Linked DNA regions of Mytilus edulis. The protein of the gene in region 1 binds, or shares a complex with, the protein of each later gene. Links are inferred from orthologs where the notes say so. Each region holds a gene or a part of one and is shown in the gene's direction. Other genes may lie near its edges.

Evidence for each region.
Region 2: transcription initiation factor TFIID subunit 6-like (region 1) and transcription initiation factor TFIID subunit 8-like share a complex: the UniProt entries of both Homo sapiens proteins name them as parts of the TFIID basal transcription factor complex. The link is inferred for Mytilus edulis from reciprocal best matches to the Homo sapiens genes TAF6 and TAF8.

The regions. Positions count from the first base shown.
Region 1 is NC_092352.1:41,337,226-41,349,918, forward strand, and holds the start of transcription initiation factor TFIID subunit 6-like, read left to right. Parts: upstream 1-6,223; 5' UTR 6,224-6,384; intron 6,385-9,981; 5' UTR 9,982-10,019; coding exon 10,020-10,178; intron 10,179-10,692; coding exon 10,693-10,779; intron 10,780-11,315; coding exon 11,316-11,469; intron 11,470-12,093; coding exon 12,094-12,311; intron 12,312-12,693. UniProt on the Homo sapiens protein: The TFIID basal transcription factor complex plays a major role in the initiation of RNA polymerase II (Pol II)-dependent transcription.
Region 2 is NC_092350.1:20,033,570-20,046,560, reverse strand, and holds transcription initiation factor TFIID subunit 8-like, read left to right. Parts: upstream 1-7,742; 5' UTR 7,743-7,857; coding exon 7,858-7,996; intron 7,997-8,734; coding exon 8,735-8,833; intron 8,834-9,727; coding exon 9,728-9,790; intron 9,791-11,500; coding exon 11,501-11,625; intron 11,626-11,898; coding exon 11,899-12,046; intron 12,047-12,734; coding exon 12,735-12,964; 3' UTR 12,965-12,978; downstream 12,979-12,991. Other genes in the region: zinc finger protein 43-like, read right to left, coding at 534-684, 1,606-1,656. UniProt on the Homo sapiens protein: The TFIID basal transcription factor complex plays a major role in the initiation of RNA polymerase II (Pol II)-dependent transcription.

The DNA.
Region 1 (12,693 bases):
TCTGATGATACCTTGATATACCGAGAAATGGATTCCAAAGCGGACCTTGATACTGCTGTCAAATGGGAGGATGTTGGCTCATGAACTTCTTTCCTTTTATCAATCTTAAAATAGTACAGAGGCGGCGCACTTGGCATTATACCATAACATTAGCAGTGCAACAACAATGATTAACAAACTTAGTCTTAGATGCATGATTTTTTTATTAGTTGTTAGTGGTTTTGAACTAGCTGTCAGATAACTGCGAGTACTCTCAGATCTGTTCATTGTGTCTTTTTGTGTCGGGATGTATAAGTACCCGGCCACGTTCACTTGTATTTTTGTCAATCTGATGAGTTAAGCCTTTTTCAACTGATTTTTATAGTTCGTTCTTATGTTGTACTGTTATACCACTGTCCCAGGTTAGGGGGTGGGGGGTTGGGATCCCGCTAACATGTTTAACCCGCCACATTATTTATGTATGTGTCTGTCCCAAGTCAGGAGCCTGTAATTGAGTGGTTGTCGTTTGTTTATGTGTTACATATTGTTTTTCGTTCATTTTTTTATATAAATAAGGCCGTTAGTTTTCTCGTTTGAATTGTTTTACATTGTCTTATCGGGGTCTTTTATAGCTGACTATGCGGTATGGGCTTTGCTCATTGTTGAAGGCCGTATGGTGATCTTTAGTTGTTAGTGTTTGTCATTTTGGTCTTTTGTGGATAGTTGTCTCATTGGCAATCATACCACATCTTCTTTTTTTTATATTAATCAAATTAAGAATGGAAGTGGGGAATGTGTCAAAGAGACAACAACCCGACCATAGAGCAGACAACAGCCGAAGGCCACCAATGTGTCTTCAATGCAGCGAGAATCTCCCGCACCCGAATGCGTCCTTCAGCTGGCCCCCAAAGAAATATATTATACTAGTTCAGTGATCATTGAGGTCATACTAAACTCCGAATTATACACAAGAAACTAAAATTAAAAATCATACAAGACTAACTTGCATGGCCAACACTTGCAGAGCGTCGACTCGTCTAAAACCAGACCAGACCAGACGTGACGTGGTTGTGTATTTATACATCCAGTACAGTCAATAGGACGGCGCACTTTGACAAGGGTTTTGTTGTAGTTCGGTTGAAGACCAAGCTTGTTGAAGGCCAACAACAACTAATAAATAAAAATCATGTATCTCAGAATCAAAGTCAGAGTTTTGAGCATGTTGAGGTTCATTCAAGTATTTGTTGATAGAAGTTAACAGATTGAACCAAAAATCCAGTTTCTATACTAGTATAAGGTGGAATATAATGTTGTATACAATTATATTCTCCATTCACTAAGAAGGATATACAAGTGTACAAATGGCATTTGATAACTAAAGAGTTTTGACCGGCGCCTTTACGTGCATGTCCAGATAACTTTGTAAATGATGTTTAAAAATAGCAAAAAATATTTGTGAAAAACTTATGTCTAAAGTGCCTAGCGGCAGCTGAGCACCGATCTCTTTTGAAAAAGTAATTCAATAGTGAGAGGGGATATGACCTTTAACGGGACTTCGGGATCGGGTGTTTTTAAGCTCGGATTTCGGGATTGACCCTTTCGAGATCCGGGAATTCCCTTTTTCGAATTTCGAGATGTCGGGATTTAACTAATTTAAATTCGGGACCTCGGGATTGGCTGTTTTTAAGCCCCGGATTTCGTGATCAGGACCCCTCTTATCCCCCCTCAATAGTGGTCATTTAAATTGGTAAAGTGGAACATGCTGCCACGAGTTGTTATATTGTCTTCAATATTTAGATCTTTCAGAGGACAGTTGACACCCAAACTAACTGTTCCCTGCAACACCATCTAACAGTATAGATATCAATGTACATGGTTTTAATCACTTTCACATTTTCTCGAGTTTGTCGCTAAACATTCTAAAGACACAAAACTGCATGTGACATGAAAATTTGCAAAATTTGAATTATTATTGAAAGGACTTGAAAGTTGCACTTTTCTGTGATATGTTATGTTTACATTCTCCTCGTATGGAAACAGAACGGTATCTTCAACGTTATGAAGTTGTAACTTCATACCAGAAAAAAAAGTAGCCTGAAGGTCTTTTTTTTTTATAAAAGAGGGACGAAAGATACCAAAGGGACAGTCAAACTCATAAATCTAAAACAAACTGACAACGCCATGGCTAAAAATGAAAAAGACAAACAGAAAAACAATAGTACACATGACACAACATAGAAAACTAAAGAATAAACAACACGAACCCCACCAAAAACTAGGGGTGATCTCAGGTGCTTCGGAAGGGTAAGCAGATCCTGCTCCACATGTGGCACCCGTGAGGGTTTCTTATCGTCGAGTTGCAAGTTGCGAGTTAAGAAAGTCGAGTTGCGAGTTAAGCAAGTCGAGTTTCGAGTTACAAAAGTCGAGTTGCGAGTTACGAAAGTCGAGTTGCGAGTTACGAAAGTCGAGTTGCGAGTTACGAAAGTCGAGTTGCGAGTTACAAAAGTCGAGTTGCGAGTTACAAAAGTCGAGTTGCGAGTTACAAAAGTCGAGTTGCGAGTTACGAAAGTCGAGTTGCGAGTTAGGAAAGTCGAGTTGAGAGTTACGAAAGTCGAGTTGCGAGTTACAAAAGTCGAGTTGCGAGTTACAAAAGTCGAGTTGCGAGTTAGGAAAGTCGAGTTGCGAGTTACAAAAGTCGAGTTGCGAGTTAAGAAAGTCGAGTTGCGAGTTAAGAAAGTCGAGTTGCGAGTTACAAAAGTCGAGATGCGAGTTACAAAAGTCGAGTTGCGAGTTAAGAAAGTCGAGTTGCGAGTTAAAAAAACATTGTTTACACCGAATTTTCAGGTTTGATTCACATTTGATAAACAAAACATGCATGCACCTGAACTTAGTTATTCCCGTGATTGTGGGATTTGAAACAGTTTATGTGATACTTATTTATTAGAGTCTAATATAAGTTAAGTTCTGGAAGCATTTAAAAAAAATAATGTATCCTTAAAATGGACAAGATCGATCTTATTTAATTCAATGCGTTTACACTACAACAAAAAAAAAGAACCGATCTGACCATAAATTACCTTTCGTAAACAAATAATCCTAAAAATAGAATAGTAAAGGAAATTCTGCATCTCGCGCAAACTATAACACATTGCAAAATCATTGAGAAAATAGTTTGCTCATTGGAATTTCGTATGGACTTATTAATCATTATTTTGGATCGTACATCACAAGTCATTAAACAAAGATATGTGTGTAAACTATATATCTATCGCTAAATAACGAACGGCCAATGCGATTGATTGTTGGTTGCTTTACGCCGCATTAGCACAAAAAGGCTATATCACGGCCAATGCGTTTGAAGATGAGGATTTGCAGCAAACAAATAGAACTTATTGATTTAGAAGATAATAAAAAAATAGCCGAATCTATGTTTACTTTTCGTATTCCATCCATCATTTTTAAACACGCCGAACATGCGCAGATTTATTTTCATATCTGAATATATATTAACATTCACCTGACAAAAGCGATCGATCTAAACATTTAAACCTTGAAAAAAGATCGATTCAAATAAGATTAATCTTTTTAAAACTACATGTACATCGATATATATATATATATAGACTTTTTAAATCCGATTGAAGATCGATATTTTCCGTTTTCATTATTACATCCATCGTTTTGAAAAACGTGTGTTTTTGCCGCCAAACATAGGTAGTAATTTCCATGCAATCGTGACAGATATGTATAATAAAAGTGAATTATGTGCGAAAATAGATAATGTGCTTACTTCTAATTTGTATTCCCAAATTGAAGTAAACGAAGGGGATATTTTGAATCCCAACCTTTTTAAGATTTTTATAAAAGAATTTAACCGGATGCATTAAATGAAACCCTAGATGCTGTTGATATAAATGACCGCAAAATTGAGTGCCTCATCTTGTTATTTTTTGTCTAGTTCCAAGGCAAGTCTTTCAAACACGAGTGTTTAGAGGTCACTCTATCTAAAACCAAAGTTAATATGTTTAACAAACCTGGAAAAATTTTAAAAGAATATTTGTATTGCGAAAAAGATATAATAGAATGTGTTTACAATTATAAGTATCTAGGTTTAAAATGTATATTGACTTTTTAAGAATGGAAAGGGAGAGCTATACAAAAAATCACTATAAGCAATATTCAAATTGCGAACTTCATCATCTTACAATCCAAGTAATTTTACTCTATAACATATATATATATATAGTGCAGGCGATTTGGTGTCACGATATCACAGTAGCATGGGTTCGAATCCCGGCGAGGGAAGAACCAAAAATTTGCGAAAGCAAATTTACAGATCTAACATTGTTGGGTTGATGTTTAATTTAATTAAGTTTAAAATAACTTATAATTGACAATATCAAACATGTGAACACGTCTATATAACTCAAGTTTAAACCTAAGTGACTCAGTTTAATAAGTTACCCAATACTTTCAGAGGCGGATTTAGGAGGGGGCGGGGCCAGGGGCCCCCTTTTTGGGGAAAAAAAGTGTTTTCTTATATAGGGAATCACTGAAGCGTCACTGGAGCGGGCCCCCTCTTAGGTCAGTCAGTGGGCCCCCACTTATGAAAATTTCTGGATCTGCCACTGACTTTAAAAAAATACGTATGAAATCATGATGTAGTAATAATCATTTTATACTTTCCAATTAAATCTTACCTGTAAATGGCGCAAATATAGTTTTTACAATAGTATCTTTGACAGCTACATTTATAAAATAAAGAATAAAAATGGGGAATGAGTCAAAAAGACAGCAACCAAATCAAAATATACAATTCAACCAAAGGTCATTAGGTCTACAAATTAACACAGCGAAAAATCACACATCTAGAGGGAGCCCTGAGCAGGCCCGAAACACAATATAGATAAATAAAGAATGTAGACGCCATTCTATGCTGCTAAATATAAAGATGAACCAAAATTAAAATGTATACAAGAGCAACAAAGGCTAAAGGTTCCTGAAATTGGTCAGACACAAAAAAGCGGCGTGTTTAAACTGGTTTTATTCACGCCCATCATATCCCCTTTATTTCTAGCCAATGCATAAGACATATATAATTTTAACATCCTCAATTTTGAGTGTCACTGACAAACAATAAATTTTGCGGTCCCTAACGAATATTGCCCGGCTCCGCAGCTGCCCCCAAAAGCCCACTTTATACGAAATCTGCAGAAGGGGTGTTTTACATATATGAAATATAGTTTAGTTGCTATGTCCCTTTACGTTTAATACGACGGTGCTATGTATGAAATTTAAAAATAATTAAAATGCAAGCCATCTGCTGTATTTCAAAAGGCTATCTGCTTCTTCAGAAAATACTAAACGTAGTGATTATCTAGTCCATTTTATTTTTACAAGAGACTCAGATAGAGTCCAAACCACAAAAATAATCAACAACACTATATACAATTCTATAAGAAATCATCATTCCGAAATGTTATCAGTTACCCCAAAAAATTGAAATATTTTAGTTTCCACATTTTTACGCAATTCGACTTTTGTAACTCGCAACTCGACTTTCTTAACTCGCAACTCGATTTTCTTAACTCGCAACTCAACTTTTGTAACTCGCAACTCGACTTTCGTAACTCGCAATTCGACTTTTGTAACTCGCAACTCGACTTTTGTAACTCGCAACTCGAATTTTGTAACTCGCAACTCGACTTTCGTAACTCGCAACTCGACTTTCTTAACTCGCAACTCGACTTTTGTAACTCGCAACTCGACTTTCGTTACTCGCAACTCGACTTTTGTAACTCGCAACTCGACTTTTGTAACTCGCAACTCGAATTTTGTAACTCGCAACTCGACTTTCGTAACTCGCAACTCGACTTTCTTAACTCGCAACTCGACTTTTGTAACTCGCAACTCGACTTTCTTAACTTGCAACTCGATTTTCTTAACTCGCAACTCGATTTTCCTAACTCGCAACTCGATACTCGACAACAAGTGAAACTCGGCACCCGTCGTGTTGCTTATAATGTTATAATACATGATTTCAAAATGTTTAAAGTTAATAACCATAGTTTCGTTCATCTGGCGATTTTATGTGACTGTGTTGTTAATCTTAACTATTTAAACCTTTTATTTCCTACTAATATTGCTCTCACATAATAGTTTTAAAACATTTAAAAAGCAAAAAAAAAAAAAAAATATTCAGGAATCCGGAACAAATTCCTCATTCCGAACTTGTTTATATATTAGTTTAATAACTCTGCTTCCGGTTGTTTCGAGCCGAAAAAGATTCAGCTACCTGTTTTGAATTATTTCCTTCTGGGGCTGTGTTTCGTGCAAATAATTTAAATGTTGCATTGATTTTGACACTTTGTTGAATGCTTTCAAGGACAGGCATGTGGACAGCAGGTACAGTTTTTCCTTCATAGCCATAACTCATTTGCTTGCATAAACACTAGAGTAGAGTAATTACCTCCCCTTTTGGCACTTTTTGAACAGAAATTTAATTGCAGTCTTAAACTTGATAGGCATAATTTAAAAACCGGGTTGATTATTTTTTCAACTAGTCCGAGATTACTCTGATGTCCAACGGCTGTTTTGCCAGACAAGCAGGGGCCGTGGGATGTCAGAGCTCGTCCCATATCAAAAAGTGGATATTTGCCCACCCAAAAAAGATGCGCTGCTTCGTCGCTTCTGATGCCGACTGACAGCCTTGGAATTATATAAATCGGGCGTCAATCTGTTCATTTTTCATTTATCTCTTCATTTATGTAAGTTTCACCTACCTGCCAACCTTGATTTTTCCATATTTTAACAGTTTTCACAGTGACCCATCGATTTCAGCATTTTGCCTTTCATTTTCGAAGATAATCACGTGACCACGAGAAAACAGTGATGATTTATGCAAATGACCATACTGTAACACCTCGTTCATTTACAATGCAAGTTATCTAAATGTCCGAGAGCTTCAGATTGTAACGTGGTCAGAACTACATAAACATGTAAATGCTTCATACCGATCTCCTGTAAAGGAGGTGAAAAAATATAAATATTTGCATATTTTGAGTCTCAAGACCACAAACTCTCTTGCCATTGGGTGCTATAAACAGTTTCGTATAAAAAACTAGGGGTTATTCCCCGACTAAAAATAACCATGGAGGGAAACCCCTGTTTATTTACTCAATTGGTGAAAAAGTATCATGTTTTTTGTATTTGATTGTAAAAATTAGTTAATTAGCTTTGAATTAAAACAGGTTGAATGATTGAAATAATTTTTGAAATTATATTAACTTTACATGTTTTGAGGGGAGACAACACTGTAAACAACCTGTTTTTTTGGCAGTGAAAATTGAAAACTTATTTGCAGCCACTGTAGCTCTTTTTGGAGCAGGAAACCGTACCCTGAAACAAGATTTTTTTGAAAGGCCAGGTAAAAACCTACAAATTTCATACAGTTTTGATTATGTAAAATGTGCATGGATCATGTCTTCATGGGTGTGCACATGACCTGGTTTCAAGTTTTTGTTGTTCAAATTAGACCTTTTTTCCCCCATGTTCATTGGATGGAATATTTTTTATATATTAAAAGTACACATTATTTTTATTTCATTATAAACTAGTGAACATTCTGATTCCAGTGATATCTAGTTTTATACAAGTATCTTTATTAATCAGTCCACCACTAAGGGTCACTTATGCATGGTCCCTCAAAATGTGACGTCATAGAAAAAAAAACTGTTGATTGCACCCATTTGAAAGTAAAAGTCAAAATGCCGAAATCGATGGGTCACTGTGAAAACTGTTAAAATATGGAAAAATAAAGGTTCGCAGGTAGGTGAAACTTACATAAATGAAGAGATTGACGCCCGATTTATATAATTCCAAGGCCATCAGTCGGCATCAGAAGCGACGAAGCAGCGCATCTATTTTGGGTGGGCAAATATCCACTTTTTGATATGGGACGAGCTCTGACGTCCCACGGCCCCAGCTTGTCTGGCAAAACAGCCGTTGGACGTCAGAGTAATCTCGGACTATTTTTCAACATAATTTTATTTTTCAAGGATTGATTTATTGAAAAACTAAAAGCAATCTGATTAGTGATTAAATCTGTAATTGTAAACTCCCAGGTTTATACATTTTATGTATACATGTACATAATGTTCTAATTATTTTTGTCCAAATAATTATGACGTCTCGGAAGGCTATTTTAATCTTCTGCTTTGACCCCTTTAAAAATAGTCAATATGAACATGATGGAAAGGTATCCACATCATACTGCATGATTACAATGTATCTGAACTTGTACAGGTCAAGAATAACTATTAATTTATATGACATGTATGAGTGATAAATTAGTGGCTTATACCTCAATTTAAGTATAATCCACTATTTGACGTACATGTACAATGGGATACACCAATACGAATACGAAAGTTTTATTTTGATTCGGTTCACATATAGCAATACATGTATTTTTGAAAGAGTTTTTTACCGAATATAAAATCATTAAAACACAAACATGCAGACAAGATATATAACAATGTTACACAGCCTGACAGGCATATTGAAATACTAGCAAAGATATAGGAAGATGTGGTGTGAGTGCCAAAGCACTACTAAAATACATATCTAAACAGTTGAGGTATAATGCATTTTTTAATTTTATCCAAAATAGATTTTAAGATATACATGTACATGTACAACTGCTGTTGTTTTTTTTGTTTTTTTCTATGGTCGGGTTGTTGTCTCTTTGGCACATTCCCCATTTCCATTCTCAGTTTTATACAATGTATATTGGAATTTGGAGCATCTTATTCGGTTACATATACCATAACAAGCTTTGATGACCACTTACTGACTTAGCTTCCTGCTAATGATCATGGTGTTGATCAAGAAACCAGAAAAGTAAAATTTTGTTGAACTGATGTATAGGGAGTTGATTATTAAATTTACTTTAATAGTATTAGTAAACTCAGTAAAAAAACACTATTGTCTAAAATCAAACAGGGATATGCCAATTTTGCAAAATACATTTTTTTACTAATAATGCCATAAGTCACACATGATTCGTTTTAAGATATAAGACCAAATAAAATAATATGTTTGGTCCAGTTACCAGTACATGTATATATCTTAAAAAAAGTAAGGGAAGGTACATGTAGGTAGGGATTTTTCTTTCTTTCTTTCTTTTTTTTTTTTTTTACACTGCTCAAGTCTATCATGTTTATGTGAGCAACATAATGTCTTTAACCATTGTTAAGGAGGCTCTCAGGTATAAATCATTTTTTTTTCTAATATAAGATTTCGCTATATTTTTCTATAAATGAACTTTATCATATACCTAATAGAAAATTGAAATAAAAAATGGGGTCACCATTCATTTAAGCTCACAATCTGCCTCCAAAAGAAGCATACAAATTTGTTCAAGTCCTATTTTTCTGTTGAATTAATAGGAGATATAGAGGTATTATTGCAATAAAAAAAGAACTAAATTGCAGAAATCGCTTAAATTTTACAATTATTTAGTTTATGTATAGCTTATTTGAAAACAATAAAAAAAATATATAGGTCACTGATGAGTTAAAAAAGATATTTCAATTTTAATGCCAAAAAATGGCATTTTTGCACCAAAGGGACATAATTCAGAGCTTTTTCACTGATATTAACATTTTAAAAGTCATCTGGGGCCAAACCAAATCAACTTTTTGGGTTTTATTTTGTACCATAACATAAAGTAATAACTAATAGTGCAATAAATAAAATTTGTAATGAAAAAACAAATGTTTAATTTTTTGCTGCAATTTTTGTAACTGCTTAATGAAAAATGCCATAAATAATATCTTAAGAATTTGCTATTATGAAGACTGAAAAGTAGCGTAGGTAGGGTAACTAAAACCACACATATATTTTTAATTGGCACAATGATAATGTACTTTGTAGTTTACAAATCAATATGTAATAATGTATTAATAATATTTGACTAAATGAATCAATTATACATTGTAGGATAAATATTGCCAAAAGACATGAAAATGTAACTTATCATGGCTGATAAAGAACACAAGGACCATAAGATCAGCAGCCATCTTACTTCAGAGTCTGTCAAGGTCGTCTCTGAGCAAGTTGGGATTGTGGGATTGCCAGATGATGCAGCACAGTATCTAGCAGCAGACTGTACATACAGAGTTAAGCAATTAGTACAGGTGTGCAAGTAATAAGATACCCTACTCATAGATGTAGAGGGGATGGTGAAATCCAGTTTTATGTTTTCTGCCTTCTTTATATTTTTTTTGCTTAAATTTTACCCTTATCCATCTGTACCTCCCAAAGTTGGTTTCCTTTCTCTTACATTAGTTTTCCTCAACCAAATATTATGAAACTTACATACAATAATAATAACAACATAATATGGATCAAGTTCAAATTAAGGAAGGGTCACTTTTGCCTTCATGAGTTTTGCCCCTTTATAAACATTTTAAAAATTGCATAATTTTTCGTTTTTGTTGTCTATACTACTTACTATATTTAAGACCAAGGATTTATAGTTTGTTACTACAAACAAGAAACTTATTTTCAGTTCAGTAATTTGTCAAAAAACATGATACTAAGTCAGACACAAATATAAACTAAAGAAATAGTTTATTTATGTAGTGGAACCTCATGTTCATTTATACATGTGCAGCTTTTTCAAATTTACCTGTGAATTGTACATTATAGGAAGCAATCAAATTTTCTGGACATAGGAAAGGACAGAAGCTGTCAACCTCTGATTTTGATCAGGCATTGAGGTTAAAGAATGTGGAGGTATACTTATCCTTAGACATAGATAAATGTATAATACATGTATGCAGTACTAGTATAAGTTGCAGATCAAAGAGACTGATCATGTTACATACAATTTATTTCTTATAAATTGATCATTACAAAATGGTTTTTTGAAGAGAGTACATGCCATTAGATAAAAGAGTAGGCAACAAAAGTTGTAATATCTCATGATTTCAACCAGATAGAGACTATCTACATTTGTCTTTTCATGAGAAGAGGAAATAAAATATCTTTTGTTTAGTACAATGTGGTGACGAGAAAGGTTTACCATGATTATGCAAAACATGAAATTTTGTGTCTGTTTTTATATTTGTATAAAATGTGCACCAAACATTTCAAAAGAGAGTGAATGAATCAAAAAATTATTAGAAATCTATGAAAATTTAATAAATCTAATAGAATGTATATAGATGTATTTATCATGTTTTTTTATGAATAAATAATCTAAGAAATGTCAGAAGTAGCTTTCCATTTGGTAAATTATACAATTTCATCAAATTTTCAATATTTTACAGCCTCTTTATGGATTTCACAGTAAAGAATTTGTACCATTCCGTTTTGCTAGTGGGGGTGGAAGAGAGCTACATTTTACTGAGGAGAAAGAGTTGGAGTTATCAGATATCATCAACACTACACTGCCTAAAGTCCCTCTAGATGTGGCTTTGAAAGGTGCAATTATTTATCAAACTGCAAATTTATTATTATTTCTAGATGTGCATTTTTGGGGGTAAAGACGAATCACAAATTTTTAATATTCAACAAATGCTGTCTTTGGTTCAAAATGAAATACAGAGAAATCCAATATTTATGTATTGACATATTTTCCTTAATCTATGTATATTGATATCTTGAAATCCACTATAGCATTAAAAATAACTTCTCATATGATACAGATGAAAATTAATTTTAATTAGAATTTGCAACAGAAAGCATACCAAAGAGTGACAGTTTGCTTTCTGCATTGTGCATTCAAAATTAATTGGTGATATCATATATACAAAAAATGTATTAGTAGATAGGAATTTGGCAATTTAAATTTATTGTCATTTAATGTTTTTCTATCAGCTGTTTTAGTATGATTCATTTACAAGATAAGTAAGATTGAGAAAAACATACTGGCAGCATTAATCATCTGCTTTAACATGTTTAATTAAGCAGAAAAAAGGTTATTTGAAATTAAACAACATTACTTTAAAAAATATATTTTTCACCTCTTTTTGTATTTATTATTTTTTATCATAAAATAACACTTATCAAACAAAATTAAATATAGATATGTTGTTGATATTTTAGCTCATTGGTTATGTATTGAGGGTATTCAGCCTACAATACCAGAAAATCCTCCTCAAGCCAGCAAGGATCAACAGAAGAAAGAGATATTAGATACCAAAGTAAAGACAGCTATTGACAACAAACCACAGAAGCCTGTTGTTCCAGAGAAGTCTCGGCATCGACATAAAGCTGTTGATTTGGTTAAAGTCAAGGAGTTATCTACCCATGAATTATCTGTGGTTTGTATTTTGTAGTATGCTTGTAGTCGGGCAAGAATAAATTATTTCTTTAAATTGTAATATGTCTTATTTTTACTGTGCAACCACTTAAATACAGGCTTTCGTAATGCATTGTAATATGTCAAATTAAATAATTTGCTGTTGGTAGTATATCCATTTTAATACCAGAAGCCTTGAAATGAGTGTTTTGCAGAGGTAACAGTTTCTTAAATTGCTTCATATATTAAGGTCATGAGCTCTTTTTTGGTTAGAAGTTATGAGTATGTTTGGAATTTGTTTGGAGGTTGTTTTAAACATTATTTATATTTGGATGACATCTTTTGTCAAGATTTTACTGATGGGCAGTGAGAAAAGTAACCCATAGCAAAGAAATTCTTCCATA
Region 2 (12,991 bases), on another chromosome or scaffold:
AATTGAGGAAGATTCAATGGTTATTTTTTTTTTTATTAAAAAATACACTCTTTAATAATTGTCTTATAAATCTATAATATATACATTTTTTCTGATGAAAATACTCTACTCATGAAAACATTCTAGTCAAGAAGCATATATGTCTGAATATATTTCTTTAAAACAGTTGTAGTCATAATGACATTCCTTGTTTATTAGTGTTCCTGACCAGTATTTAATAATTATATCATATTTTATGTCATAAATTGGATAAAGACACTATGTTAAAGTTTCAGTTTTGGTTAAAAAGTTTTTTTATCTGAAAATGCCTGTTCATTTGATGTTGGTTTTCAGCATGTCCAGTGTTTGTTGTTTTAAAATGGTTTTTTTTTCTTCACAAGAAACTTGGTTTAGTGTCACTGCTTGTTTAAACTGTATTTTGGCCGATAAAATAAAATATTTTTCCTACCTACCGACACTTCAGTCTGAAGGTACAGTCGGAAAACAGCAAACAAACATATTTTTAAGGTTGGCCTCAGAGATGTCATATTTACCTTTACAAAACTTCCTAAATGTCTCTGTAAAGAAAGTATTCTGTTCCAGGAAATCTTTGCCTAACTTTGTTCCTTGGTAACCAACAACATTGTCATTGACCTTACTAATCAGTACGGCTACCTCGATTCCTGTGGAGGCATACTTCTCTAACTAGAAAATGAAAAGGTAGTACATGTAATAAACAGATCTATGCAACATCCTATATTCCCTACCTCAATTCCTGTGGAGGCATACTTCTTTAACTACAAAGTAATACAGGAAGTAAACGTAAAAAACAGATGCATCCTTCTGTGTTCCTATAACTCCTTTTTCAATACTGTGGATTCATTTATTTTTGGTAGTAAAGTTAATTCATGAATTCAAAATAAAGTAATTTTTGTCTTTGGTAATAAAATTGAGAATGGAAATGGGGAATGTGCCAAAGAGACAACAACCCGACCATAGAAAAAAACAACAGCAAAAGGTCACCAATAGGTCTTCAATGTAGCGATAAATTCCATATCTGGATAGCTGTCTCATGTTGATTTAAAACACCATACAATGTATATCTCTATCATTTTTTGTGTTTGTAAATAATGTACATGTCAATGTTAAATGAGCTGCATCGGATAGAAATCTACCGTTTGCAAATGAATATCAATACATTTGCTAATGTATTTTGGGTTGTAAAAATATTTATGCAAAGTCTGCAACTGATTGAAAATTGAGTTGATAAACTTCTAAGGCTGTAATTTCATTAAATATAATTTTTGTCTTGAATCATGATAATTAACCAAAAAAGTGGATTTCAATATCTTTAGCCATTTAAAACTCAAAGACAAACATTGACAAAACATTTCACATATGTATGAGTTGGTAGGAAGGAATTACATACCAAGAATGGACTGAGTGGACTGAGTGGCAAATGTCTTTTTGAACAATTCTCTATATGTACCATTTGTGTTCATTTATTGTAATTTATATGAAACAAATATATCAAATATATTTGCAAATCATTGCAAATGAAGAAATGTTGCTTTAAACAGGATTCAGCAGCAAAGTTTGTTTCTATTAATTATAGTATATTATTACCACAGGTTCTAGTTCGTCAACCAGCTTGTAAACAAGGTCTGCCCTTTCCATTGTATGTCAGCTGTCTCTTTATAACTCTAGTCTAAACCTTAAAACTGAAATAAATAATGCAATTGAGAAATATTTTTCAACCAAATTGAAGTTTGGAATTACATACAAGATATATAGTTCTCACAGACGAATATAGTACTGTGCTGAAATGTATCAACATTTAGTGTGTATTCCTAACTGAAACTAATCAACTATGGACATACATGTCAGAACTTTTTAAAAAAGCTGAAAAAAGAAAAGGAAACTTCCTATATTTTTATATACTGTACATGTTACATGTGAGTGACCATATATTCATTATTGAATTAAGTTTTAAATTCCATCAGTTTATTAATAATATTTTTTAGTGTAACTTGGAACCAATTTTCTGCATAAACTGTGGTAAATTTTTTAAAATTCATATAAAAATGATAATAATAATATTTTTTAGTGTAACTTGGAACCAATTTTCTGCATAAACTGTGGTAAATTTTTTAAAATTCATATAAAAATGATAGAAATCTTCATTTCTCTAAAAAAAAAAAAAAAAAAAAAGTGACAACAAAATGTATTTATCTATCTGTAACTGCTTTTCAGCACACAATTGAATTACAGTCCATATTAGTAACATTACGATGAAATTACAAGATATTTTATACAATGTGTGTAGGCAAGAATGCAATCTCAACTGAAGCACAACAAATATATTTGGAAACCACTTTTCTGAACAAATTTTGGTGTATTTTTAGTACCTTCATGTATGCCTTTGACCTTTTATGTTGTGATGTCAAAAATTATTATAGATTTTTGTCTCAATATATATGACCATACATTTGTACATTATGATATACTAAGGCCTAGAAAAAAAAAATTTGGTTCAGGTAACCCTACCCCACCTAACAAAAGACCCTGATTGTGACCCTTTTTTTTTTTATAGCAGTGTACAAGTGTGTGATAAATATTTCCAGAAGGTCATCCTGAGCACTATCATCGTGGGAACTCTTAAAAATTAGAAAAAATACCCAACTACCCAAACAATATTTTTGGGACATGTTACCTGAACCAGACAATTTAATTGTTTAGGCCTACATGTAAGTTAAGATTGCTATCCCATATGAAGTATTTGATTTTTGTAAATAATTAGCACAGATCTGGAAAACACTTTTTTTTCACAAATGTCAGTTTATTTTTGGTAACTACAGTACAATACTCCCATGGGAGGATTGCATTATTTATAAAGAAAGAAAAACTACAACCTTGACCTCAAATTGAAACTTTTATTCCGGTACCACGATTTCCCGAGAAATACAAGAACTTTTATAATATCCCCAAAACAAACTGATATATCCCGATAAAAAGATTTGTTATGGTGTTATGCTACTTTTAATGGTGTTACTGTTTACTACTTTTAACAATATCAAAGAATATTAATTAAAGATATTTCTCGTTTTTCTCAATAAAAGTGCAATTATGTACACTTCAAGAATTCGATGTGTATGATACACATCGAATTCTTGAAGTGTACATAATTGCACTTTTATTACTATGCCTTGTATAAAAACTATAACTTCTGCCATATTGTTTTCAACAAGGAGTTTGCATACAAGATATACAAATCGTTTTTCTGAAGATTGTGCATACTTTTATTAATTATGAACGCCTTAATCCTTATAATTGTATGCTGTTACACTAATTTAACACAGTATAACACCATGAAAATCTTGTTATTGGGATATATCAGTTTGTTTTGGGGATATTACGTTGTACTTGTATTTCTTGGGGAAATGGTGGTACCCCTTTTATTCTGGATTTTTTTTTTCTATTTTTAAACAATAACCTTGACCTTTGACATGGTGACCTAAAAGTCATTAGAGTCAATAGAGATGTACCTCTCATTATAGAGACTGTTCATTAATGATTAATTACAATCTCAATCTGATATCAAATATTTCTGTAAGCATCTTGAAAAGAAAATTACTTGCAGATTGACAAGTAAAAAAACTATCTCCACTGCCAAATTCCCTCCTAATTTCATAGTATGGGTAATTTGAAACAGCCATTGGAGACATGGATGATGATGATTTGGTAGTGATGGATTCAGGGGGATTTAAAAAAAAAATGGGGTTGGGTTCTGGGTGGTTCCCCCCTTTTATTTCGAACGATCAAGGCATTTGAATGGCTATATACACCCTATAAAAACTTAATGTAAAGAGTGGGAAAATGTAAAAAATAAATTAGGTTATTGTAACAAGGATTTGTATAGTAAGATCCTTGGTAATAAGAATCAGTTATTTTATTAGTACATTTGCATATCTATCCTCCATCCTCCAATTTAGGAGGGTGTGCCCTGTGTCTTACATGAGGCACATTGGCCATTGCAGCTCAAACAAAGTTACATTTCCAAATAATAATCAATGTTTCTATCAATTACTTTTAAACAATCAATGAGAGACAAATCAATGAACAGTTATCATTGTGTGATATTTCTAATGTGCTAGTAAAACATTGTTTGCATTATGCAATGTCAATAGAACTAAGGTTATAGGATATACCCGCAATTACAGTGGTGAGAGGTGCTCCGTGTCCCAGTTTGAAACTTTATATTTATTGTTTCATTTAAATTGCAAACCTGAGAGGTAACCTTTTCCATATTCAGCTGTCTTAAATGTATAAATTTCGATGGCAAGCGTGTTTTCAGCAATATAACCTCTGGCAAAAATGTCACCGCCGCAACACCATCAAAAAGAAGTGTTAAAACCTTTCCCACAGTCCTGAGTAATATACAATTTATGTCGGACGATCCCGGACGTTTTCGAATTCTCAGTTTTTTCTGTAATGTTCTGTCCTGTCTGTGGCAGGGCAGAAGAGCGACATGTATTTATGGAACTTCAACTAAATTTGAAAAAAATATGTATTTTCTATCTTCTTCTTCCTGGTATAAGCCTCCTTTAATTAGGAGCTTTTTTAAATGATAAAACAAAATTTCCAACATATGTACAGCACATATAAATAAACAATAAACAATAGAAATGTCATGCAAGGCATATTTTCATGGACCTTTTTATTGCAAACTATTCTACCATACAAGTATATTCACTTAAGTATGTGACTTAGTTTTATTTATATTTAAAATTATGTTTCATTTGAATTTGCTTTTTAATATGCATAAAATGTACATTAAAAGGAGGTTTCATTTAATAAGATCTATGTATTAAAATAATAATAGGTTGTTTGCTTCAATATAATCAAATGACATTCTGATGTAACAGGAATCCAATGTTGATTTCAGATTCATTATGTTTAATGTATAATAAGTATATGAGATTACTAAAAATAAATAGAGGTAAAATATTACAAAGTGCATTTACTGCAGATCAAGAATTATCTAATGAAAACTTAAAATGATATTTAAAGTACTTAACTAAACTTGATACAAAAAAAACAACATTTTAAATAGTGATAAGATACTTTAGGCAGCAAGCTGACATACAACTACAAAATATCAAATCTGGAGCTGTGGACAGTAAACTGGTGCTTTTCAGTAATATTTTTGTTCCAAATTTTGTTCCCTACTATCTTTAAACCAATCTTACAAAAAATATGAAAAGACTAGTAAAATTATACAACTACGTATCAGTGCTCATTGTTTAAATATAGAACGGGGTAGATATAATAAACCCCAAATTCCAAGAGAACAGCGTTTTTGCAAATTTTGCACTAAAGTAGAGACTAAAGCACATTTTTTGATATCTTGTGATAAATATAAAGATATAAGGCAAACTATTTTCCAATCTTATGGTTTAGATTTAAAAGATTTGTGTAATGAATATTTTTTAGTTTCTAAACTTTTAAATACCGAATGCGTTAGAAATAAGAAACAATTTTTAAAAATATGGTTACAATTATATTATTATATATATATTACATGTGACACTTTGAAATGTTGTTTTGTAATATTTATAGTTATCTTAATAATAAAGAAGATAACTGACATATATATTTACATTTCATGATTTGGTAAAAAAAACCGCTCAGACTATATATTATAAAGCAAAAATTCTCTAAAACTGACATTATCAAGATGTTTAGTGTTTGTTGGTTGGCTACATATTTGTTACTTTAGGCGGACGCTTTCGAGATGTTTCGGCCACACTTCTAGTTCGTCCACATGTCGTTTCGGCCACCAATCAGTTCAGCCACAGTAGTTTTGGTCACATTCTAAGTTCGGACATTCGTTTTAATGAAATTCATATTGTTCTTATGCATTGATTGGTTTGGCAGAAGTTGGGTTTGAAAGGAATTTTTCTTACCAAAAAGTATTTTTGTACAAAATCGGATAAAAAAAATGCAAATAAAAATGATATATTAGAAAAAAAAATGGATCATGAATAAATGTCAAGGACGTAAAGTCATATGCTTAAGTATTATCTAGGGGAAGCCTATATATATATAACTATCATATTATCATATCAATTAATATCAACATTTTACATACCAGACAAGAGATTATATGTATTACAATTAAGTGGTGAGATTCTTATAAAACATTGAATCTGAATGTAATGTTCTGCTACTATTTCAGGTTAATTAGGGTGAAAGTTGGCACCAGTTAAAACGTTTAAACCTGTTGTATTTGTTTGCACCTGTCATAAGTCAGGAACCTGTAGTGGTGGTCGTTTGTTAATGTAGTTCATAAGTGTTTCTCGTTTCTCGTTATTTATACAGATTAGACTATTGGTTTTCCTGTTTGAATTGTTTTGCAATAGTCATTTTGGTGTCCTTTATTGCTTGCTGTTCGGTATGAGCAAAGTCTCTGTGTTGAAGGCCATTCTTTGACCTTTAAGTGTTTAATTTTAACAAATTATGACTTGAATGGAGAGTTGCCTCTTTTGAACTCATACCACATCTTCTTATGATTATCAAAAGTCCATTACTCTAGTATCCAGCTCTACATCGTAGCTTAATTTTCTTCCTTTTTATTTCCGGCTTTCTGCTCTAGCTGCTTTTTATACATTATTTTATACGGATCATTGAGCTGCTATAAAAAGCCAATTTATATGTTTATGCTTTTTAGTTTGTTAGTCATTGCTGGTTCTCACCCATGCAATGCATATGAAGGTGTTTGCAGCCGTGATGAGCACCATCATGAAGTGACCCTGGACGTCCAGAAATCACTTTTTTTTTTAAATTATTTTATTACATTCACATAGGCTACTTTTTTTAAAAATCTTATTTCTTAGTACCTGAATGGAGGCTGAGCAGTGTGATTTTTATATGATAGTATGAAAATTTTTCTCTGTTATGGTGAACATATATGCCGACTTTAAATTCTTTATTCCCAAACAAACAAAAACAATTTTGGTAATAGCAATACAGATACAAAACAAACATAATAAAAACTCAGCAATAATAATATACATGTTAAATATAAAAAAAACAAAGCCCATACCGCATAGTCAGCTATAAAAGGCCCAGAAATTATTGGTCTCATTTCCTCCGCAGTGTATTGCAATTTACATATTTTTCAATACATTTTTAAAGGTTTTTCTATTATTTAAATTAAGTTTACAGTTAAAGAAAAGGTGGAATTCATCAACTAAGATGTGACATATTTTACATTTTCTTTCATGTCTTGGTATTTTTGTATATCGTCCAGTTTCTGATTAAAAACCAATGATCACTTATTCTAAATGTAGTTCACATTTTTACTTGTTTCTTTTTTGGTGAGTAAGGTTGTGACTATTATTCCATTTGATTATTATATATATGAGATCATCCTTGATGAGATTTACGAATTTTCTTTAGATACATTTAATGACTTTCATTCCGCTGGTGTTGTTTATTCATTATTAGCCGGAGAGTTTGATAATAATTAATATACCTTTTTTTTTAATTAGGATTTTAACTTTTTCGTCTGTTTTTGTGACAATTTTTTAAAAGTTTATCACGAGTATGTTCCTTCAGTATCTGTTTTTTTTGGGTTTTTTTTTTATAGCTGGGTTAGATAACATTTAGGGACCTACTTTCTTATTTGGTACGTGACTAGTCGATTCATTAAACAAACTAATTTCGGTTAATACCTGTTTTCATTCGGAATGAGACCTGAATACCTCTAGACTTTACCTCAGGAAACAAACATGGAAGTCAAAGTGACAACAAAAGCCCATTTATTGTTGAAAACGATCAAATAATGGAGTAATTTACATACTAACCACAGCAAAAATGGCATCCGAAAATGACCAACATGCTGTTTCATCGCGGAAAGCATTAAAAGTGGCAGTTAGTGCACTGTGTTTAGAAGTAGGGTTCCAGACAGCTGAAGAGTCAGTCATTGAAACATTGACTGAAATGCTGGAAAGTTGTAAGTTGTAAAAACTGTATGCCATTTCAATGCTTTATAGAAACTAACTGAAACAACTCCAAAAGCCTTAGGCCTTTGAAGGAACAATAGCAGCAGGGAGCATGATACTGGTAAATACACCTTATGTCAAATTATGACAATTTGTCAGACATTAGTAATGAGGGGGGATAGGACCTTTATCGGGACTCCGGGATTGGGTGTTTTTGAGCTCGGGATTTCGGGATCCGGGAATTCTTCTTTTCGATTTTCGGGACCTCATGATTTAGTGATTTTAAGCCGGGATTGCGGGATCTGATGTTTTTAAGCCCGGAATTTCAGAATCAGGACCAGTCCTACCACCCCTCAGTAATTACTGGACATCACAAAGGTTCCCGTAAAATTTTGACGTCACAATAGAAAATGTTTGACTCCACAATGGAAAAATGATTGTTGTTGGATGTCAAAAGTTCAACCGGCGTATCTTTAAATATGACTTTTTTCTTTTTTTTTTACCCTGTTAAATATATACTTTTAAATACTAAAAGTCTTTGTTGTATATCCAAGATCTTGTGCTGTGCTTTTTAGTGTGAATGTCAATCTGATCAGTCAAGAACCTTACCTGGGCCATTGGTGTATTACCTATGAACATTATTTGTATTTGGATAATATTTTTATTAACACCTAACATAAATAAAATTACTTAAATACTATTAGAGAATACCATGATATTTTTAGGAACTCCTTTATTTTTACTTAAAGTTTTAATGGAGCTTGGCAGGAGTACACAGGCCTTTGCAGAATTAGCTGGCAGAACAGAAGGAATCATGACAGATGTTATAATGGCTTTGATTGAAATGGGTTTGTATTATATATTATGTATGATACATGGTTATACATATATAGATATAGGAAGATGTGGCATGAGTGCCAATGAGACAACTCTCCATCCAAGTAACAATTTATAAAAGTAAACCATTATAGGTCAAAGTCTGACCTTCAACACAGAGCTTTGTCTCACACTGAACAGCAAGCTACAAATGTATAAAGCGCCCCAAAAATTACTAATGTAAAACCATTCAAACGTGAAAACCAATGGTCTAATCTATGTATAAAAAAAATTGTTATACCCCTTGCAAAGTTTGGGGGTACATGTATATAGGAACCATGCTGTCTGTTTGTCCATACCAACTTCACTATTCTTTATTTGATTTATTTCAAACTTTGTAGATTAATTGATCAGGATATGCAAGCATCACCATTTGAAGGATTTTTCATTATGTTTAGAATATCCATGACTATGTCCCTTTCATCACAGAAATGTTTACCCTTTTTAGAAATTATCCTGTCCTCCTTCATGGTTTGTCATATCTACATGAAATCTAAAATTGAGAATGGAAATGGGGAAATCGGGCAAAGAGTGTGTCAAAGAGACAACAACCCGACCATAGAGAAGGCAACAGCAGAAGGTCACCAACAGGTCTTCAATACAGCGAGAAATTCCCGCGCCCGGAGGCGTCCTTCAGCTGGCCCCTAAACAAATATATATACTAGTACAGTGATAATGAACGCCATACTAAACTCCAAATTGTACACAAGAAACTAAAATTAAAAATAATACAAGACTAACAAAGGCCAGAGGCTCCTGCCTGGGACAGGCACAAAAATGCTGCGGATTTTGTTGAAAAAATACCCATACAAAAGAGATAAATATAAATTTTTTATCCATGTATAAATTTATGTTTGCATTTTTAGGTCAAAATATTCATGCATTACCAGGGCATGCAAAAAGACCAAATAAAACAGTATTTCTCCCACGTAAGTTTTTCAAGACAGACATGTTTTACACAATTGCATATCATGTTTATTTCACAAAATAGTCCAAGTGTTTGATAAAACAAGAGTAATAAATTACACAAAAAATGCCATATCTTAGTGAAAAAATCTCAAGGCTACAAATATTTTTCTAAATGTTCCTTGAAATTTCAAATTAAATGTTTGATTTCAATAAAATTGGTACTAGTTTCTTACCCACTATTCTCTCTTTTTGGTATAATATTTTCAAATATAGCAAATTTTACAATTTAAAATGGAGGAAGTTTGTTATTTGCATAATTCAACCTGAAAATTTATGAAAAATGTATTCAAATTGAAAAAACTTTTTATGGATAGTCAATTTCAGTATCTTAAAAATCTTGATTGTTGTCAATTGCAGAGTTGATATTGGCATTATTTTTACTTTAAATATTGTTGTAAAATTGACATGGATTTTTCTTTAGCATTGATCTTAAAACTTTAAAATATGTACATGTATATGCAGTGGTCTCGCTAGCCCAAAATAGAAGGGCGCCGCGCCCTGGGTGCCCTCAGCCGCGCCCTGGGTGCCTTCATCCGCGCCCTTCTGCCCTGACGTCTTTTTCCAAAATTATCTTGTGCCGTTTTGGTAAAATTTTGTTTCATCGATTACTGATCTCCAAGTTAATTACATATATGACACCTGTGTGATTGCCCCCAGGTTAATCATGTCATTACAATCAATTACAATGATAAAGACTTCAAAGGTGTTAATAACTAGGTAATTTAATTAGGACAATGTATCTTTTTGTCATACTTTTGATGAATGTGTAAGCGAGTGTGTTTAGCTTGGGTCAGCATTTTCGATCTCCAAGTCACAATGGAAGAGCGTATAAATGAAGACTTTCATGACTTTAGAATTGAATTTAAGTCATCAAAATAAAACTATGCCTTTACAGAAATGCCTTCCATCTCAACTTGTTAGCGACAAGCACAGTTTTTAATTAACCCAAACGTGGTGGAAATTGATTTTGGAGTTACTTCCCCTGTTTTAGCTTATTACAAATTTGTGCTCTAAAAATATTATCTAGTATCAAAAAAAGGAATATATTACCAATTGAATATATAATAACATAATAATGTTACCTTAAAGATATTAACTGTCTTTGAACATATTAAAAATATATATTGCAATTTCTACTTGATAATTATACTTTTAGCAATCCATGTTCTAAACATTGTTAAATTAGTAATGCTCAGCTTCACATCATATTAAGAATTAAAAACTACATATATTTTGATAATGGGTAGAGTGAAGTTAAACTGTAAAAACATAATATGTTGATGAAGATGTACTATATCATTCATAACTACACAACAATGAAATAAAGACTATAGTTGAAAAGCATCTTTATTTAAAAAAAAAAACATATATACAGTAAAAAAAAAAAGAGATTCGTTAACTCGTGATACACACAGAAACGTAGACAAAAAAATGAGCAGTGCCTTTTCTTATCATAAAAAGTGCCCTTCCCTCCACTGGCACCCTGCCCCTTTTGATTTCTAGCTAGAGCACTGTATATGACAAGAATATTTTTAATAAACCTTTGGGCAAAATTACCATAACCAACCATTCTTCCTAAGAGTATGTTAATTGAAGTACTACAGTATCCAGCAGTGAATTTGAACTAGATACACTTATTTAATAACACACTCTGTCTTTTATTTTTCCAGCGGCACACAGTGCTCCACCACCCAATATTAAGATGTTACAGACAGGAGATCGTAGAGAGCATCCTTCACACATACCAGATCATCTACCTCCATTTCCTGATCCTCATACATACATCAAAACTTCTGTAAGTTATACAATTGGAAAATGATATAGAATTATTCTTTATGTTTTTGTAGGTAGTGTATTTTGATGCAATTTTATTTCAACAAATATTAAAAACTTAGCTCCAAACTGTACAATGAAATTTGTTAAAATATGAATTAGAAGAGATGTGGGATTCAGATACATGAAGCTGCAATCCAATGCAATTTAAAAAAAATTTAAATAAATAAAATAAAGATCACCAGTTAATCTTATGCATTTTGTTTTCATGTAATTTCATCCCATTCTTTTGTAGACAAAAAAAGCTCCAATGAGCGAATATCAAATGATCAGAGAGAAAGCAGCCTCTCAAAAACGTGATGTTGAGAGAGCATTAACAAGATTTATAGCTAAAACAGGAGAAACTCAGTCCTTGTTTAGAGATGATACAACTACATATCCTTGTAAGTTTTGATTTGATGCTGTATTGATTTTTAACTTTAAACTAAAAATGTCAAGAAAATTATTTAAGGCTATTTTACAGGTGTTCAAATATTTGACACCACACCTCCTCAAATATGCACGATACTGTACACTTTGTAGACATGAACATGAACATAAATTGGATTTTTTGTTGTTTCAGTACATGCTAGTTTGTTGCTTTTTGTGTGAATCTGCATAATATATTGATTTTATAACAAGATATTTGTTACCTTGCTTCAATTTCTAATATTTGCTTTTGTTTCAATTTTAAATCTTTGCTTTTGTAGAATGCATTTGCTTAATTTTATATAATGGTATTCAGCTTTTTTTTTTTACTACTGTGTAAATATTCTGTATTTAAGTCACTATAATGCATCTTATTTTTTAATGGACTCTTCTTTTTTGTGTTAAGCACTTTTTACAAAACTAGGGGCATTATTTATTGATGACTTTATTACAAGTACATGAAGAAGAGGAAGATCCAAGTTTTACAAAATTGGTGATGATGTGTGTTTGTGTTCTACGCTCCAAAAATAAATTGCTTGCAAAAATTGGTTGGTTTATAGTAGTTTAAAGATTTTCGTAAAATCAGCAAACTAAAAATGTCAACTCCAGCTAACTTTGTGAACAGTATCAAATCTGTAGATTTCCAAACTGTTTTTATTTCAGTAATTGCAGTTAAACCTATGCCTTTGCCATATTTGAATGCATTGCTTCCAAAAGATCAAGATCTAGATTCTCAAGATCAACCAGAGACCACAGCAGTTAAAAAACGCAAGAGAGCACCAGAACAGTCTGAAATAGTGGGAGATAATCCACAAGGAGTTGATACAGATTCTATAGACAATCCATATTTGAGACCAATGAAAATTGCCAAATTCAAGAAAAGATTAAAATAGTTATGATTTTAAAATGGTGTTATTCAT